4 linked regions of the Neodiprion lecontei genome follow. The main gene of each other region encodes a partner of the protein of the gene in region 2 in a complex. Links are inferred from orthologs where the notes say so. Each region holds a gene or a part of one and is shown on either strand. Other genes may lie near its edges.

What was found.
Region 1: U4/U6 small nuclear ribonucleoprotein Prp3 (region 2) and U6 snRNA-associated Sm-like protein LSm6 share a complex: the UniProt entries of both Homo sapiens proteins name them as parts of the precatalytic spliceosome. The link is inferred for Neodiprion lecontei from reciprocal best matches to the Homo sapiens genes PRPF3 and LSM6.
Region 3: U4/U6 small nuclear ribonucleoprotein Prp3 (region 2) and U6 snRNA-associated Sm-like protein LSm5 share a complex: the UniProt entries of both Homo sapiens proteins name them as parts of the precatalytic spliceosome. The link is inferred for Neodiprion lecontei from reciprocal best matches to the Homo sapiens genes PRPF3 and LSM5.
Region 4: U4/U6 small nuclear ribonucleoprotein Prp3 (region 2) and U6 snRNA-associated Sm-like protein LSm3 share a complex: the UniProt entries of both Homo sapiens proteins name them as parts of the precatalytic spliceosome. The link is inferred for Neodiprion lecontei from reciprocal best matches to the Homo sapiens genes PRPF3 and LSM3.

The regions. Positions count from the first base shown.
Region 1 is NC_060266.1:17,404,027-17,408,114, reverse strand, and holds U6 snRNA-associated Sm-like protein LSm6, read right to left. Parts: upstream 2,393-4,088; 5' UTR 2,236-2,392; intron 1,880-2,235; coding exon 1,789-1,879; intron 1,341-1,788; coding exon 1,192-1,340; 3' UTR 537-1,191; downstream 1-536. Other genes in the region: uncharacterized protein LOC124295486, read right to left, coding at 3,403-3,736, 3,832-3,996. UniProt on the Homo sapiens protein: Plays a role in pre-mRNA splicing as component of the U4/U6-U5 tri-snRNP complex that is involved in spliceosome assembly, and as component of the precatalytic spliceosome (spliceosome B complex).
Region 2 is NC_060265.1:31,665,042-31,671,748, reverse strand, and holds U4/U6 small nuclear ribonucleoprotein Prp3, read right to left. Parts: upstream 4,903-6,707; 5' UTR 4,701-4,902; coding exon 4,436-4,700; intron 4,211-4,435; coding exon 3,999-4,210; intron 2,536-3,998; coding exon 1,749-2,535; intron 1,464-1,748; coding exon 1,106-1,463; intron 1,032-1,105; coding exon 632-1,031; 3' UTR 548-631; downstream 1-547. UniProt on the Homo sapiens protein: Plays a role in pre-mRNA splicing as component of the U4/U6-U5 tri-snRNP complex that is involved in spliceosome assembly, and as component of the precatalytic spliceosome (spliceosome B complex).
Region 3 is NC_060261.1:5,613,910-5,617,142, forward strand, and holds U6 snRNA-associated Sm-like protein LSm5, read left to right. Parts: upstream 1-1,826; 5' UTR 1,827-2,005; coding exon 2,006-2,051; intron 2,052-2,289; coding exon 2,290-2,486; intron 2,487-2,590; coding exon 2,591-2,623; 3' UTR 2,624-2,720; downstream 2,721-3,233. Other genes in the region: serine/threonine-protein kinase mos, read right to left, coding at 2,783-3,097, 3,164-3,233. UniProt on the Homo sapiens protein: Plays a role in pre-mRNA splicing as component of the U4/U6-U5 tri-snRNP complex that is involved in spliceosome assembly, and as component of the precatalytic spliceosome (spliceosome B complex).
Region 4 is NC_060260.1:25,385,487-25,389,509, forward strand, and holds U6 snRNA-associated Sm-like protein LSm3, read right to left. Parts: upstream 2,146-4,023; 5' UTR 1,489-2,145; coding exon 1,468-1,488; intron 1,390-1,467; coding exon 1,282-1,389; intron 830-1,281; coding exon 647-829; 3' UTR 525-646; downstream 1-524. UniProt on the Homo sapiens protein: Plays a role in pre-mRNA splicing as component of the U4/U6-U5 tri-snRNP complex that is involved in spliceosome assembly, and as component of the precatalytic spliceosome (spliceosome B complex).

The sequences.
Region 1 (4,088 bases), on a different chromosome or scaffold from region 2:
GTTGCTGTGGTTGTGAGATATTGAAATGAGAAAATTATACCTTTTGTGTTTTATCAAAATTTCATACCAAAACTGTAATCGCGTTAAGATTTTATCGTCGAAATTCAGCTATTTAAAATATTCTGCTACCATATATCTGCTACGCACTTGAAGAAGATTTATGATTAATTTGCCAATTTTATTGTTTTCCTAAGAGTATATCTTCTTGGCGCCATCGACAATATTTTTCTGTTCGATCGTAGGTCAATTGACTCAAAAAAGAAGGGAAGTTGCGTGCAACAATTTATTTTTTGCAAGGCCAATCGCAGAACGCTGTTGGACCAATTGATTTTCTGCCACGATCAGAAAACAAAATAACTGCGTAAACTTTGTTTATTGTAAAAGAATGTATACTTATTATAGTATTGTAAATAATAAGTGATTACAGGATTCAATGAAATCAACCTTCTTAAATGACTTTACCGAATCTTCGTCTGTGCATATAGGCTACGGTGCATAGACTGTACAAAGAGAACCAGATTTTCTAATTTTTTACATACAGCATATTGTTTTGCAAAAATTCATTTATAACGTTTTAGTGGAAATCAAATGAGGAACACACTAGTATTTTTTCAGAGATTTAGGTAATACAGACCATGGTGAAAAATCCCTTCGAATAATTGTACTGATGAAAAAACAGTTTCGTCACGAGAGAAGTGAAATTCATGTAATTCGTATACATGCACTTCAGGGTAATATTATTAGCTTTGAAATGAGCTCCATCTGGACTCTGTACGATGAATCGGTCCGGAAATACGACTGTTTGAAATTCCCCGTGCGCGACTATTTTACCGTTTTCTTGAAGTTTTGGAGTATGAGTAACTGGGAGTGATATTAAGAGGAATTACTTCGGAGCTACGCCAACATATTCACAACCTTTCGTGAAGTTTGAAATTATCAATGTTAATTGTGCCCCAAAACTGTACTGTTTGATGTGGAATGACTTCCATACAACCAAAATATACATTCGTCATGTCGGATCTGACCGAAAATGGCAGAAGTCTGTGGTTAGGTACAGAAATAGATGAACAGCATGTATTACAAATAAATATTATTTTGAGGAAATGTAATATGACAGTCCATTATTTACTTCTATATCTTTTGTTATCTTAATTATATATGATCAGTTTTAGATACTTGGAATTTCACATTTCATGTCCTTCGTTTCTGTGTGCTTATGTACAGCACATTATTTCCTCGAATGAAGGCATCGCCGTACTTATTCTTTAACTGTCCATTAACGTACTCTTCTGTTTGTTCAAGCGCGATATTCATGTACCCATCAAGACATGCCAAGACGCCTGAAAATTATTGTCATTTTTACATTTGGATAGACTTTTGCTATAAAAGTATAAAACTGTAGTGGAAATTTAGATTTGTAGAATAGAGTGCCCGTACCAGTGAATGAACATTCATCAGTAAATAAACAATCTATAGAAAAGCATTCCCGTATACAGTTATTTTATAATAGTTGTTCATTCAGTCGGGGCATTTTTTAAAACATTCATTCGTTGGTGAATTCATCTTGGTAGGAATATTAATTCTATACCTATCATCAAAAATTTGTATTTGGATAAAATCAAGTGTTTCAATCTTCCTTGGAAAACAATAAGCAAGTACAATTGTATAATCGAGTCACTGTTGTTGGCTAAGTTTTCAGATAGGTGTATAGAACAAAAATGTTAGCTTATAGAATTTCTGTCTACTCATTTTTAGGGTACGAAGTATTTAGATTACTTTTGAACAAACCTCTGTAATCAACACCACTATTTAATTTTACTACAACTGGTCGGCCATGAATTTGTTGTATAAATTGAGAAAGTGCTTCTTTACGGCTCATCTGAAAACAAACGAACGTCAAATTTCGTGTCAACTTAGGAAATTAACCTTGTAGTTTTAGAGTACGTAAGTTGAAGGGAAGTCGGATGCTCGAATAAGTATAATTAACGATTGCCAGTGCGGATAAAAACATTTCTAAGAACGCCCAAGATAAATTTAAATATGGATCAAGCAAAATTATAACATTCTGTATCCACATGCGGGCAAAATGACTGGTTAGGTTCTGTCAAACCTAGATCAGACTATACGAAACAACACTACTGTTGATGAAGTGATACATACTTTCCACGGATGAAGTTTGGGAAAGCATATCACCACCTTAACATGTCAACTATTTATACGTAAATTGATTTTTACCTTATTATTTTGTAAATAAGCGAATTTATTATTGTTTTTCTTGTTCCGATCTGGTTCGTGGTAGCTTCAAACTAGATATTCAATAATTTAAGCCACAGGCATAGAAGAATGAAGGCAAGAAGGTGATTCTGAAGGTTGACGTACCAAGGTCCCTAGATTAGGAAAGTCAAGGCACGCGTGGGCAAAAAAATTAGTGAGAATGCGCCAAAAGTTTGTTATGACAATGGATGCTTTCATACAGGCTGGGAACTCAGAGGGTGGGGGGTGACTCAAATAATATGGCAAAGCGTAGTGCTCATTTCCGCCACTTGGAGCAGCGCAGCCTTAGGGTAAGCCCAAGGTCCCTAGATTATACAGGTCAAGACACACGTGTTCCAGTTTTTCTCACTATAACGTGGGCAAAAATGTTCTATGCGCGTTCGCCCAAAAAATCCGCATTAACCAGTTTTGACCAATCTAGCTCAATTTCGTAAGGTTAAGCATTAACGAGTTGCGCCCTTAACGTCCTGACGTTCACAAAATAAATAGAAACACGTTTATATTTTAAGATTAATTATTGTGACAGATCAGGAAGAACCACACTGGGTGCTTTCCATTTAGGCCGTGTTCGAAAATTCACTGACAGTACTGTCAGCAATCCTTTATCTCTTTTGCGCTTCCAAGTTCGCGAATAGCTCTGACTCTGTCCTAGGGAATTTTCAGTAATTTTTTAATGGCAAAATCCGTAGTCATGGATGTTTTAATAAGGACAGGATATGAAAAAATCATATGCAAAATAAACTTTCAACCTACAACGGAACTAAAAGGCATAAATCTATTTAACGCCGATCATGTTCGGAGTATGCAAGAATACAGGCATAATGGAGAAAGTTTGTTTAATCAAGCTGAAGTTGGTCGACCAGCATCCGTATCTTCTGAGCCACATAAAGTACAGTTAAACGTGAGCAATCATTATTTTTGTTGATTACGATGTTACTGAATAATATGCTTCATAAAAAATTAAAGTTCTGGAAGTTCACTCCAGCAATATCTAATAAATCTTCATCGGTCTTAATAGATGGAAAACCACAGAAACTACGCTGTTTCCTATTTTGTTCAACTACAGCCTCGTTAAAACCAACCGACTTATCTATTATATCTGTTAACGATGTGCCGCATTGTACCCTTTCATCTTTCATTTTTTTTCCTATTCACAATAGTTTTGAGAGTGGCAATTTCCGGTATTTCAGTTTGAACTTCAGCATCGCAGTAAATAGTCATGTAAATATATCTGTTACAAGTGAAAGTTTTTGTTTGTTCGATACCAGCAGAATTTACAAAATCTACTTGACACTCTTGATCAGTTTTTAAAATTACTTCTGCACTGCTTACATCCATAGGATCACGTCCATTATTATTGACAACATTGTTAGAGTCGTCATTAACTGGATTTCCAGTATCACAATTCACTTCGATGTTATGCTTGTGAAGAGTCTTTCTTCGGTTAATGAGTCGATTGTACCTATAATTAATAGATACCTACATATGTTATTATATAAATATAAATGTATATATTATTTGATTTTATAATTATTTTTTTACTTTTCATATATTTACCTGCTTAAAACAGCTCTTTCATTTAATTGCTTTGCATGATAAACAGGAGGGAATAGAGTTGGCGCGTAGCTTGGACTCGCAGGATCATCTGATTTTTTCTTGCCAATGAAATGACTATTACATATTACGTGATGAGGTTTTGGAGTCCACTTTGAGCCATCAGGACTGAAAAAAACAATAATACTTATGTATTTATATAGTGTTTCATGCAGATAGCATAACAGTTCACCTATTGATATAGTTGGCTTTATTTTAAA
Region 2 (6,707 bases):
CATCACTCCCTGGAGGCACATCAATTAAAGGGACTCTAAGGAACCGATAACTTCTGACTACGTCTCTCATTTCAGGACTATTTTTCCATGTCATGACTACTGAGATACTTACAGGGGCATCAAGACTATAGATATACTGACCAGCCCCCTGGCACTCAAGCCACATTCCTGTCCCCCGAATATCACCAGCCGCTCCGTGGCGCTGGCAGTATTCTGCGGCGTCTCGCTGCCATCAGCTGCTACCAGCTGCCACTACGGCTAGCTTGCGCCGGCAAGGAGTGTTAGGGCGCAAGAGGGGGGAACACCGAAATATGCCAGCGCCATGCAGTACGAACTATATGTATATGGTGATCATAAGCGCAGACAGTTCCCTATATGAAATGAATAAGAGCGCCAGGGACCTGGTACTGACAGTCAATCCAAGCGACGAAAGCAGATGTTTAACAAGTGATCCTTAGGTACATAATTATGAACAGAAGCACATCTCCTTTCAGTAATTGAATTAGTTTAACAAACTCCAACTTTACACGAAATATGTAAAAATATCTGAAATTGATTATTTATCATTTATTTCTCACCAAGAATTCTACGATTCATTGTTTGTAATATTGTTTCATTACCACACTAGGTTTTAGGTACGTGCATCATCTGTATTGTCTAATACCGCACCACTATATGCTAGATCCCAATAGTGCTCAACTTGATGTTTTTTGAAGTGTTCCCTTGCCATTTTTTCGATTGGGCACACCTTGAATTTTACCTCGCCAAAGTGTCGCTGTTTGCTTGTACCCTCCCAAACCAAAACACATCTATTAGGCACCTCGTTTCCATCATTATCCTTGACGATATCCTCTTCCCATTTTATTCGCCGTACCATCAAACGTTTATACTTGCTCAGTTGTTTAGCTCCACCCTCAACTACGACTACATTGCAGTCGCGAAACAACATCACACACCCGGTCAAGTATAATTGTTTGGCATTTGTTTCCACTTTGAACTTTTTCGATGCATTATTAACTAGATCTCGTATCCTGAAATAATTCATTTGAATATAGTTCTATGAACGTGGCCATCCCCATGTGCAGGGTATATATCAATGGATTACCTGTAAACTGCTACGTGTACTCCAAGGGTGGTATCCTCTTTCAGCTTACGAGCTTTTTTCTCGCGTCGTTGTTCCGCAGTAAGTCGACGCGCCGCGTTTGCATCCTCATGAGCCTTTAATCTCTTTGCCATCTGTTGGCGTACGTGAGCCTCAATTTTTGTGGGATCCTGTACAGCTTCTGTACCCAAGACACGCATTAAATTAGAGATCCTCAGCTTTGGCTCAGGCGGTGGTTCCAAACCCAGGCGGATCTTCTCTTGTTCCTCTTTCCATGCTTCTCGTCGGTTCTGCCGACGTAATTTTTTACGCTCCTTCTTTGTCAGAAATACTGGCATGTAGATTGGCTTGAGAGGATCAGCTGTAAGCAAACGAAAAATAGATCGAAGACAATGAAAGTTGGGGTCATATTATTATACAAGCAGGTAATTCTTGAGCAAATGAAAACTCTGCAGTTACACACATATGTAATAAATATGGTTATTGATAAATAGGGCAAGGATTTGAATTTCTCTGAAGATATTTATTCAAGGTACTGTGAGCTATAACACTCTTCCTTTGAGGATTTCAATTTTCATAATGCAACCGGAAAGCAGCTAAAAGTACTATTACAAACAATCTGATCGTCCAGAGTTTCATAACTTACTTGGAGGCCGCATTTGCGTAGGATGTTCAACCAAGTTTGTAATGGCAGAAAACTTGATTGGCATTTGTTCTTCGTCATCTGTGTAACATCCAGTAATAATAACCGAATCCCACCATTCAACATTGGGCACATCTTCGTTCATGGCCTCGGTCTTGGGGGCAATCAGTGCCAATTTTGTTGCCGAACTGATACCGGTTTTTCTGGCAATTTGTGATATTTCGTTTTGTAATTTTTCCAATTGGGCTTTCATACGTATTCTATCTGCCAACTGTTGAAACTTCCCAGGCTCGTGAAATTTTAAGGCTCTCTTGTTTCTTTGGGCTGGCTTTGCACCGATCCGACTATCAAAAAAATGCGTATCCTGCATCTCCTCTGGCCCCTTAGAATCCTGCAGCTGGGCTTTGAATTCTTCCCGTTTCTTTGCTCGAATATTGGCTTTCAGCGTAGGAACTACCTGGGTGAGTTGAACTTCTTTTCCTGTAATATCGACTGTTCTTCCAGATTCATCCAATATCAAGGGTGTTGGCTTATCAGGGACTGGCAGGCTTCCCAATAATCCCGAACTGAGTTTATTCCTAATTTGAGCCTGAAGTGCAGCAATCTTCCGAGCTTTGTCAGAATCATTTTTACTCAACAGTCCCTGATTGTACATACTCCCTACGGACGGCATGGATTCGCGAGCTCGGAACAAGGGTCTGACTGGCGGCATATCATCTTGCCGTATCGCCTTTAACGCCCGTTTGCGCTCCTCGATCTCTCTTTGAGCATTCATCATCATTTGTTTTATCTATAAAAAAAAATGTAGCAGAGGAGGAAAATGAGGAGATGAAATTCTTAACCAAGCATTGATGAATGTTAATCGAATGGTGATAAGAAAAGTCAGTAAATCAACTGAATCGATTTAATTGGATGAAAAAAAATTAAATTCCTTAGCGTAAGCGAATCTACATTTCGTGGGTACCATTTTTTTCGTTGATCCAAGTCAGCGATAATGCGACTAACTGCAAATACTTTTGCTGATTTAAACGAATGTATCAGTCGAAACAATAAGAAAATGGTTTCCATACATATGGTAAAATAAATTTATCTACAAACACAAATAGGCTAATAAATTTACCTACTTTCAAATATTTTGTTGGTTGAAAAAAAAACCACGAAACTCTAACGTTCGTGGCAGCTGGGAAAACATAAAGGTAATGAAATCGATGTTTTCTGTGTGTTGAATTAATGACATGAATAAAATATTCATGTCGAGCATTTCATTATTCAACTGTACTATGTCGTCGGCTTTTTCAGTGCAGTTAAATTGTTGAAATATTGATGAAATCCTTGCATTTTGTACATAATCTTTTCATGTCTGCTGGCAATAGCTTCATATCACTGAGATAAGTGTATTTCGTCATTTAAGTGAGCCAAAGTTAACCCGAAATCTATGCGATAGTTTGGCATAGTGGCAACAGATGTACGATTAGGTGGTATGATAAGTATTAGTGAGCAATCCCCGATTCGAATCCTGATCAAAATCATGCAGCCTTTAATCAGAAACTAAAAATGTGATTTATCCAACTTGCAATCAATTATAAGTTATTTGCAATACTGAAAAATCCACCAACTGTCGTAATTAGGCTAAAAATTTTATTTTCATTTTTGATCAGAACCTTTTCAAATGACTGCAGGACATCCTTTCATTCCATGATTCAGTCTCGTCAAACGAAATATACAGTAATTCTAATAAAACATAACCTTACTTTATAACCTGAGCATTTTTTTATCTGAATGATATGAGACTCAAGTTAACAAGTAAGTTGTTTCAATAGATGATTGAAACACTATACTGAACTGAATGTTCAGTTGCTTGTACCTAGCTGTGATTTTTCCAACCGAATATTCAGTTCCGACGACTACAATTTTTTGAAACAAACAGAACATGATCTTGCATTCATCAAACATTTGTTGGATCAAGAAGTAGGATATTCAGATTAACAAAATGATTTTTATATCAACTATAGAATAGAGATCGTTCAACTTAATATTCCGTTGACTGTACATCCTCTTACTTGTGTTAAGTAATAATAAAGTCAACAGAAGTAATTTTTATTTAGTTTGAGCAGCTTATAAATTGTTGTAACCAAATATTCGTATCGCCGTCCGTGAATGCCGCATTTAGTTGATCGAAACAATTTTTGTGATACAAAGCATTTTTGCCCTCAGTTCGGGTACTAGACAGTGGATTTATAAACTTAAATGTACCTTGTCAGCAGACAATTGTGCTTCTGTAGGTTTTTCGTTCATGAAATCGTCTTCTTTTGTTTTCGGTTTCTTTGCATCTCTGTCCTTATCCTTGTCATCGGTATGAGGACGTTTCTTACTCTTTTGGTTAGCTTTGGTGTCATCGTATATTGAAAATATTTTTTCCATCAACTTGGTAGCCTTCTTTTCTTCCAAGAGTGCCGAAAGTTTGTCTAAAACATAAATTGTCACATACCACATATACAAGTTGTAAAAAAATGTTTTGACATGCCATCAGAAGATGAATACTTATCTCTAGTAAATTGACTAAACGCTAGGTAGTAGCGTTTCATTGAAAACTTGAAATCACTGAGTGAAAAGGATAAATGAATGAGCGACACAGTTCAATGGTTATAGTTGTAGATCAGTTCGAATGTCGGTGATATAGAGAAACTTACCAGCAGTTTTACGCTTGTCGTAGCCCGAAGTGATGCAGTTTATAGCGGTAGTAACAATTGACGGCTCTCCAAAACCCAGAAACTTATGTACTGCCTTCTCTATTTGAGGCTTCATATCATCTATCTCTTTGCGGGTTAGATAAGCCATTGTAATAAGTTGTGCAACTGGAATGTCAAGAAGTAGCAAAAAGTCAATTTGAAAACTGCAAAGAATTACTCGTTGAACCCCAAAGAGAACAAGATACGGACGACGTTGTTGTATCATTCAGCCCGCACGTGAGTAACCGAAAAGTAAGGCAGGGTAAAATGAAAAATACATTCCACACAGAAAACACTTGATAAGAGTCTTGACCGTGACAAAAACTGCTTAGACCGCAGAGGTTAGATTTGTACTAAAACCAGCCATGTTTATACTATGGGTGTATTCCGAAATATACTCGCAGTACTGCAAGTACTAGCAACCGCGTTCCGAAACCGCGCGACAGCTTCCTGCCGCCAGTCTGTGACGTCTGAAATTTGTGACGTATTGACTGTGACTACTACGGTCTGGGACGTGAGGCAGTTGCAGTACTTGAGAGATGGCCGCGTCCTCGGTGTAGCGTTCCGCTTTTTCTGCAACTGGCAACTCGAAGTAAAAACGGAACGCAGTTCGCAGTTGACTGCGTGACGTCACGGTCGGCAGTACTGGAAGTACATTTTGGAATACACCCAAATCCCGAGATCGCTAGAAAGAGATGGCAGTATATCAACTGCGGGTGTGAGACTAAGATAGCACCAAAAACGGTGGAATCGAAGTTCTGGGGGCTTATTACGGTTTTTGGATTGGGTGAAAATGACGAATGTGAGCGGCTCACCCTATTTCGGTCAATCTCACCTCCTGAAAGTGCGAGTTTCCTCGCGCGAGCTGACTTGACACAAAATTTGATGTGAGAAGGTGAAATTGAAGTGAGTTACACCCGTATTCATAGTCCTTCCTTGACAGCACAAGGAGCCTTATTGGCCTCCTTCTTTCAAAGCAGATCTCGAGCTTCCTTGAGGAAAGCTTCGGCACTGCGATTGGCAGTTTCGTTTTATGTAGCCAACGCTTGCGCTTGCGCTTGGCGACTATGCACTTATGACCCGTATGACGCAGAGATCACAGCTAGTCTACAAGTTAACCTCTTTGAAGTTATACACTCTCATCAACCGACGCAAGTTGACAATGAGAGCCAAGCGGTTTAAGTTAGATTTAAATATAACCGAGTGACGCTTCGATCAGCAGTTTTACCACCATAAGCAATCACATATCCCTAAATATGTCTTCCCTCCTGGAAGGGAGAGCCAAGTTGTGACTATGAAACGAGGATGCCTCTGAGATTCAAGGAAGCCTTCATCAAGGCGTCCTTTACCCTTGAGATAAGGAGCGACTATGAATACGGGTATAAGGCTGCCGTCCCATGGTCCGGAATTTGTTCCGTCTCCACGAACCCTGAACCCAGTGACTTTTCAAGCCCCAATCGGAGGCGTTCCGGCTCCACTGATTTACGGGATGCATTTTTCCTACTGTCCCATGATACGGAAATGACACACACGGAACGATCGCCGGCAAATTGCGATTGTTCCTTTTAGCGCTGAATTTGAAATGCACTACTGTGATTGGGTGTCGGCACTTCCGGGCCTGTGCATTCCGTGTCATGGGACACCCGATGCTGACAGAGACGGAATCGTATTACTCACACAAGCATATGTATTGTTTACATGCTTACGTTACATGCTTACGTTAGGCTGCAAATAAGAGGTTATGATATGAATATTCTCGAATTATAGGTTAGAAATTGGGTGATATTAGGTCAAACGTGACGCAAGTTTTAATTATTTCCACTTCAACAACTACAACGAACAATTAAATAAATGAATTTCGTATTCTGAAGAATTTTATACTTACAGGACCTGACGAATTCAGTTTTTTCTTATGTTACGCACCCACACACACACAGATACAGAGATTTGTTTGACAGTTCGCAAATACTGGTAATGCACACGGAACGGAATGTCCGGAACACTTCTGATTGGGGCTTGAAAAGTCACTGGATTCCGAGTTCGTGAGACGGAACAAATTCTGGACCATGGGACGGCTGACGCACACTTGTGACGTCGGAACGGTACCTAGTGGAAATCTCCAGATGTTAGACACCGGAAACATTCACACGCAGCTACAGCCAGACTCACATCAGTAGTTTGGGTCACCAATTACCGATTAAGTATTGAAATACACCGGACAACGGGCATTCTG
Region 3 (3,233 bases), on a different chromosome or scaffold from region 2:
AATGGTTTCACACAAAGAAGTACGGAAATGTTACACGTACAATATACAATATAACAATGAAATAACATCTAGTGAATAAAGATTAATGCAGAAAATTTTTTCCTTTAAATGTAACTCACTCACATAAGACTGAATGAAAAATTATGGTACAATCATTAACTTTATTTATATATATTTAAGAACATACAGATTGTATTTTCCACGTTCAAACAATTCTAGCAAATAATGAATTCAACAATGAAAGTACTTTAACATTTGTCAAAAATGCCTGAGATGGCCTTGATATGTTAAATATAGTATGCAGCAAGAGGCAACATCATTTCTGAAAATTAATATCTACGAGAAACGTGTTCCCTGGTAAAAGATTGTTATTGTTATTATTATGATTATTCTGAGCAGGACAAAGATTCTAGGAAATTTTTCATTCTTCACGAGTCAAGAGGTAATTCTCATACAGGGAAACGAGGCACAAAGAACAACGAGATGAGAATAATAATCGTTTCCAGATGGGTGAAAATTAATAAAATTTGTAACTGGCGAAATATTTGGGAAAATAGTTTTCATGGTTTAAATGAGATTATGAGGTAAGAGCTGGGGTAGTTGAGCGGTGTGTGATAGATAAATAATATTAGTATTGATTGAAATTCGATTAAATAAATCGTGAAATTTACACCTGTTGAATGGAATTATTTAAATTAGCAATTCGCGAGCAGCGTGCGACGAATTGCGAGGACAAGTAGTCAAATTTGGTCCGAAGATAGAATAAGAATAATAATACGAACGTTGAATGCAAAATGGAATATGTATTTGGCGTGTTCGTACGCATGCATACACGCACGTATATATGTGCGTAATAAATTTGTAGAGGCGAAAATTGTGCGGCAACCGGAATATGAGGTGATAGAATAGAACATTTCGATGGTATCATAACAGAAGACGGGGTGTTTTTGTTATCATTTTTTCATCATTTTCAACGGATAATATACCATGTGTAAATTAGGATGGAAGAGTGACTAGGTATCCAGATACCAAGTCCATTCGGTGAGTGTTCACGGGGCAAATCAATCGGGAAGTCTGTACGTTAGCGAGAAAGAGAGAAAAAGAAAAAAAAAATCGCGTGGTCAGGGAGCTGGGTAGACAGCCTCTGAAGTAGGTATATACAGCGTGAACAAAACGTCCCCTTTGACATTGTTTGATGATACATCTAACAAAGCGACGTGCGTATTATACATAACCGTTGTTGTTTCATTACAACGATATTATAATTAGATACTAGAAGTTGCATGTAGATATATATGTATTAATAGCTATGTATCTACGGATAGTAGAGAGCTTGTCAAATCCACCCCATCGGACACAACAATTAAAATGAATATTGTGATATCTCTTACCTCGGTACAGTTAACTCCGGGAAATCACTTTGAATCACTAACTTAATACAATTGTCATGTCTAATTGGAAAATAACTTTTAACGTAACTCATATTGCTCGCACATTGGCACATTTACAAAATCACACAAATAACGAAAGAGTTATACTTCTGCCATGTTCGGCTACAAATTCTACATTGCTGCTGAACCTCGCCGCTGATACCTTCTGCTTCTCCCGTCGACCGTCGCGGCGGCGCTGCTGTCGACATCGAATCATCACTGAATAATATGCGCCAAATGGGCAACGGCCAAAGGGCAATGCCAGTATACTCTGTCTCTCTTTCTCTACACTCTGATTGGCTGAGCATTACGAGATATGCGCGTTCGGCCAATCGCAGCGCAGAGCGAGAGAGACAGAGTGTACGGCAATTGCCTTTTACTGGGAAGCCACCTCCATGCGATATAAGCACGACGGCAACGGCAATGTGCGCGCAACTACCGGTGTTTCGAATCCAACGACGCGTAGTCATTTTACAGGACGTCCGGATTGCCGTCCCGCTTAATTAGTTGATTGTTAGTTGGTTAAAAAGTGAGGGTATATTAATACCGATTGACGAGACTATTCTGTTCCCAAAATGACTAGCTCTGTGACTACGAATCCATCCACGCTTTTGCCGCTAGGTAAATAAATAAAATAATAACGAAATTTTTCCTAACCTCTATGATCTAACGACAGAACGACGTTGTTTATTATTTATTTTTTGTGTATTTTTAAAATACGTTTTAAAATATATGCCATTAGTTCGGGGTAGTCCACGTGTCTTTTACATTCTCGTATTTTCTGCAACCTTGCTCATTATCGATCATCTTAATTTTCTCTATTAACTGATGTTTTATTTCATTGAATTTTACTTTACAGAATTGGTGGACAAGTGCATCGGCTCCCGCATTCACATTATCATGAAAAATGATAAAGAAATTGTGGGTACATTACAAGGATTTGATGACTTTGTGAATATGTTATTGGATGATGTGACTGAAAGCGAAGCAACACCCGAGGGACGCAGAGTTACAAAATTGGATCAGATCCTCCTCAATGGAAATAACATTACGATGGTTAATATGGAAATACAAATACATTTCGATAGCATGATGTGTTTAAAATGCACAACAAGGTTTATTGCAACAGTTTGACTATCATTTTTTCTTTCCTGTTTCAGTTAGTACCTGGAGGTGATATGCCAGAAACATAATCTCATCCCCTGTGATTTCATGTATAATACTTTTGACATTTACTGCTATGTGATTGTAAAAATTTATTCAAATAACAATGATTTTCTTTTGTAAACATTTCTGCATTGTCTTCCTTTTATCCCGTATCATCATTGAGCCTTTGCCATTTCTAATTAACTTCAACACTTTGCTTCGACCTCTAAATCTTGAAGCTCCGTTGCAACTCCATCTATACTGGGTCTATCTGTTTTTTCAAATGACCACATCTTTGAATACAACGCTTTATACTTGCCACCTAAATTATCATCCAGCATTGAATCCTCCGGTTTTATACCTTTCCCAGTGAGATACAAAATAGCGTGAGGATGGAGGTCAGCGAATGGCAAAGTCCTGCTTAGCATTTGCCAGGCCAAAATTCCCAGGGAATATATGTCTGAAGGTGGAGAGGGTAATTCCCCTCTGATTACTTCTGGGGCTACATAACCAGGTGTACCCTGAAAATATGGCATAAACCTGGTGATTTAGGGAATGAAATCGTGATGCAAAACTAAAAAACCTACTCGAATTCCTGTATATGTGTCTTCTTCCCCCAAAAGAACGGAGCTACCAAAATCTGCTAATTTTGGGTTG
Region 4 (4,023 bases), on a different chromosome or scaffold from region 2:
TCTGGCTTACCAAAAAGTCGGAACAGCAAAGTGTAGGCTGATACCCTACAAGTTTGTATAGAGTCTGTTGAATCCGTGTCTACAAATCGCTGTAATATGATAATCTGCTTGTAGTTTGCGGGATTTCATTGAGAAATATACTATCGAACTTGCAAATTATGTCTTGCGGTATTAGAATCAAGTAACTGCACCAGGCAACAATGAATTCATTCAATCTGCATGTAACATTTCGAAACTAAAAGCATTTTGCCTCATGAATTATTTACTCCAATTGTGTGTAATGTGAGCTAATATATTTTGCGTTTTAAATAATCGTGAATAATTTGATGTTCGTATTGAATGAGGAGTCGACAAGTATCAAGTGAGTAATATTCCTAATTTTTTAAATCAATTTCATTGCTTCATAAAATTAGACTGAAGTAGATTGAATTTTGGCTGATAATCAGTTAAGCTTCAGCATAATACAAAAATTTTTTAATATCTATTTCGAAAGAAGGACAGCGTGCCTAAGTTTTTTTCCATTCTTCACGTTTTCATACACAAAGTTCATTTTATTTGCATCAATTATTGCCTGTAATAGTAGCATAAGCTTATCCAGTGATTATTTGTTTTTAAATTATTTTAGAGTTAATTACGTCAGTAGGGATTAGATTGGCGCCCTCATGCTTGGCGGAGATACCAGAATGACACCGTCGCCACGAACAAACAACATTGGAATATTTCTTTTAGTCGTTCTGTAAACTTCCTCGTAGGTTTCTTCGTCTATCTCAACGGTTGTTACAGTTTCCTCTGCCTCACCCAGAACCATATTTAAATGTTGATCATAGGCCTGAAATTAAAATGATTAACCACCATTTGTTCAATGAATCAATTCTCATTTAAATAGATCGTAGGTCAGGTAATTGTATCAAAATATGAGTTATTATTGTTTACTTAAAATTTCCAATATTGGGAGCAGTGCTGACATTCTATCTTATGTTGTGAAGAAATAGAATGTGGATCGCAAAATTTTATCACAATAATGCAACTTGTTTGATTTTTATTATTTGACGAGGACCGATGGTTCTTGAAAATAACGATTGTCACTAACTTTATGTTAGCAAATCGTTATAACTTAATAAGAATAATAATACTGCAAATAGCAACTATTATTCTGCTCGCCTAACTGAAGTGCCGCTGTTATCTATCAATCAGTGTTAGAGAATCGCACTCCTAATAAGCGCTTGGTATGCATCGACACAGTACTAATTTGACAAAATAAGATTCCTAAAACAGAATTACGTGTAGTCTTCCTCTGAGTTCCCTTTCGTTTCTCATTTTGACGTAAATTCGTTCGTCCAAGCTGAGTCTGATTAGATCTAACGGTTCCTTAACGTTGATGGCAGGAACCTGTATTGAAGACCGACAAAATTTTAGGTTAGTTGAGGTTAGGGATTGAATTATCTTAACAAAAATAAAATGCGTTACCTGCTCTGCATCATCGGCCATGACGTGTTGATAATCCCGTCACAAATTACAATGAAAATGTTGACTCGTCAATTATTTTCTGAAAACTAACAAACGTCACTTTACGACGCGACAGAAATTTAACCGACTTCGTTTCACTAACAATTGAATATCGATCTCGATCAAAACCTCGATTGTAGCCGACCTATGAATTCACTCGCGCTCAACACTCGAAGAACGGTAGTGTCGGTATTGACTTCACATACTTATCCAGCCCGGACATGAGGCGTTGATTTAAATCTGAATACTTTATTCTTTAACGTTGCCGCAAAGTTACAAAATAAGGCACCCAGATCTTTAGAATCCTTTTCCAAAACCATCGCATTATTTACAATTACATTGAAATGAAACAAATGCATTCTCGTCAATACTCCCAACTCAAAAATTATCAGCGTCCCCCTTTCGGCGACCTAACCTAATAGTGAAGTCATAAAAACTGCCAACGGTGCAACTTCTCTATAATTATACACACCGGACTAATTCCAAGGGCAATTTTTGCTTCCAATTGTGCGTACACCAATTGCCATCGAGTTTCTGCTGGAACGGACCAATCAGCTACTCGGTTAACCGAAACAGACGAACCTCGGAAATAAACTGCAGACGCGCATCTCCTCGATACGTAAGTACGTGTTCGAGTAGTAAGTAGTTCGCAATGTGACCACCCCTTCGAGGCGGCGAGCGGCGCTCGAGTAGCAGAATCGAGTCGGTCGTGTCACTGGCAAGTGAGTAACGCCATTTTCTGTGTTTGCGGATAGATATTACGGGCGATAAAGTGACACATTAGGTGTATCGGAGGTTAATTTGTCGGGTGTTTCGAGTGTCGGTGAAATGTTTGGATACCTGGAAAGACGCGGAGCAGATATGGTGAGTGATATAGACGTCAACCCGACAATAAATGCCTGACATCTTGCCACCGTCTGATGTTGGCCGCAGGTTCGAGCTGGGATGGGTCGTTCGGAGTATCGCACGGTATCATGTGATTGTTGTTTGACAGCACGCTCCAAGGGTCGCTCCTTGCCTTTCCGAACCTCCCATCAAAGTTACGCGCCGTTGTGATTAAACCGATCAATTTTACGCCCCGCCAATGGCCGTGGCGCTGAACCTTGTCACGGGAAAAGGTCGAGGGCGGCACATGGCAGTTGGGGCGCCGGCTATGCGGGGGGTGGTTTTCTTTTGTATCCAAAAACCGACTCCAACTCGGAACGGTGAGAATCCCGCCTCAATAAATTGCTCCCAGCAGAGTGTAGGAATGCAAACGGCGATGTATCAGGACTAATGTCCAAACGGCAATCGGCACATATTAACTGTTGGTATCTCAGTTTGTCAACCGGAACTAGCGTGAGATCTAACTTCGGATAGATAACTGAATACACGCTCGTCGAGCGTCTCTTGTTCGTTGCTGGAGAAGCGTAACTCAAAACGCTTGTGTAATCTTAATCTTCCTACTCGTTCGAATTCCTCATTAGATTCGTCGATTTTCATATGTCTTGAGGTCGGGAGAACATTCCTTCACAGAGTAGAATGCTAAGGTAAATAATGATCCGCCTTTCTTTTCCGGCTATAACTGCACCGGCATAACTCGTGACAAAACGTGTGTAACTTGTGTCGGGTGGACTCAGCTTGCGGCTCGACAAACATCAACTGCATTACATAATCCACTTTTACATCCGCGCTACGAAACGAACTTACAACCGCTGTTCTTGTTTGGCTTTGTACGATTCTCACGCCGCGTTACAAAAGCTCGGACAATCGATTCTCGGATTTCAGTTGCGCGTAACAATTAGTTTCCGAGTAAGCGATTCGAATTCCTGCATCAAGAATCTCGGAATTTACACCTGAATACACGCTACACACGTGCTGCGACAACTGGCGCAGGTATTTGATTATTCCGTATGATTATATACCGCATTCGCTTATTCACCACACGCACCGCTACTTACCTGCTATGCCTGAATGGTGAATAATAACGGAGGTGCGTAATACAGTCGGCAGAAAGCGCATCGTCACTTATCTCGGCTCGGTTCGTCAATAAAATATGCATGTGTGTACATACGGCGCGTAAAAGCGAGAACGAAACCCGAAGTATAAAGAGCGCCAACGGGACTGATAAGATAAGATACTTGCCCAGAGCGACGATGATATCTCGTATTTCACTCTGTCTCTCTTCGTTTAATTTAAATTCAGGGTTCGTACGCACAGAGAAAACTGGAAAAACTGGCAAAAGTCAGGGAATTCTGTAAATTTACAATCCTGGAATTTGTGTCTTTAAAAAATGTCCTTGGCACGTTTTTATAGGTTCGCGTAAATGGAGCTGTAAGTGTTACGTTAATTGAATAAAAAAAAGTATAATATTACTTGTTTGTAACAAATGCTTTCTTCTGATTTTCTTTTCTTTCATTCGTTTCTAAGAAAATTAGAGCCTGTAGTTAGGAAATAGATTTGAGTATAAAGTTGACAGTTTAACGATGTTAAAGGTAATGTTATTTATTGAAAAATTTGCCACTCTTAAGTGATTTA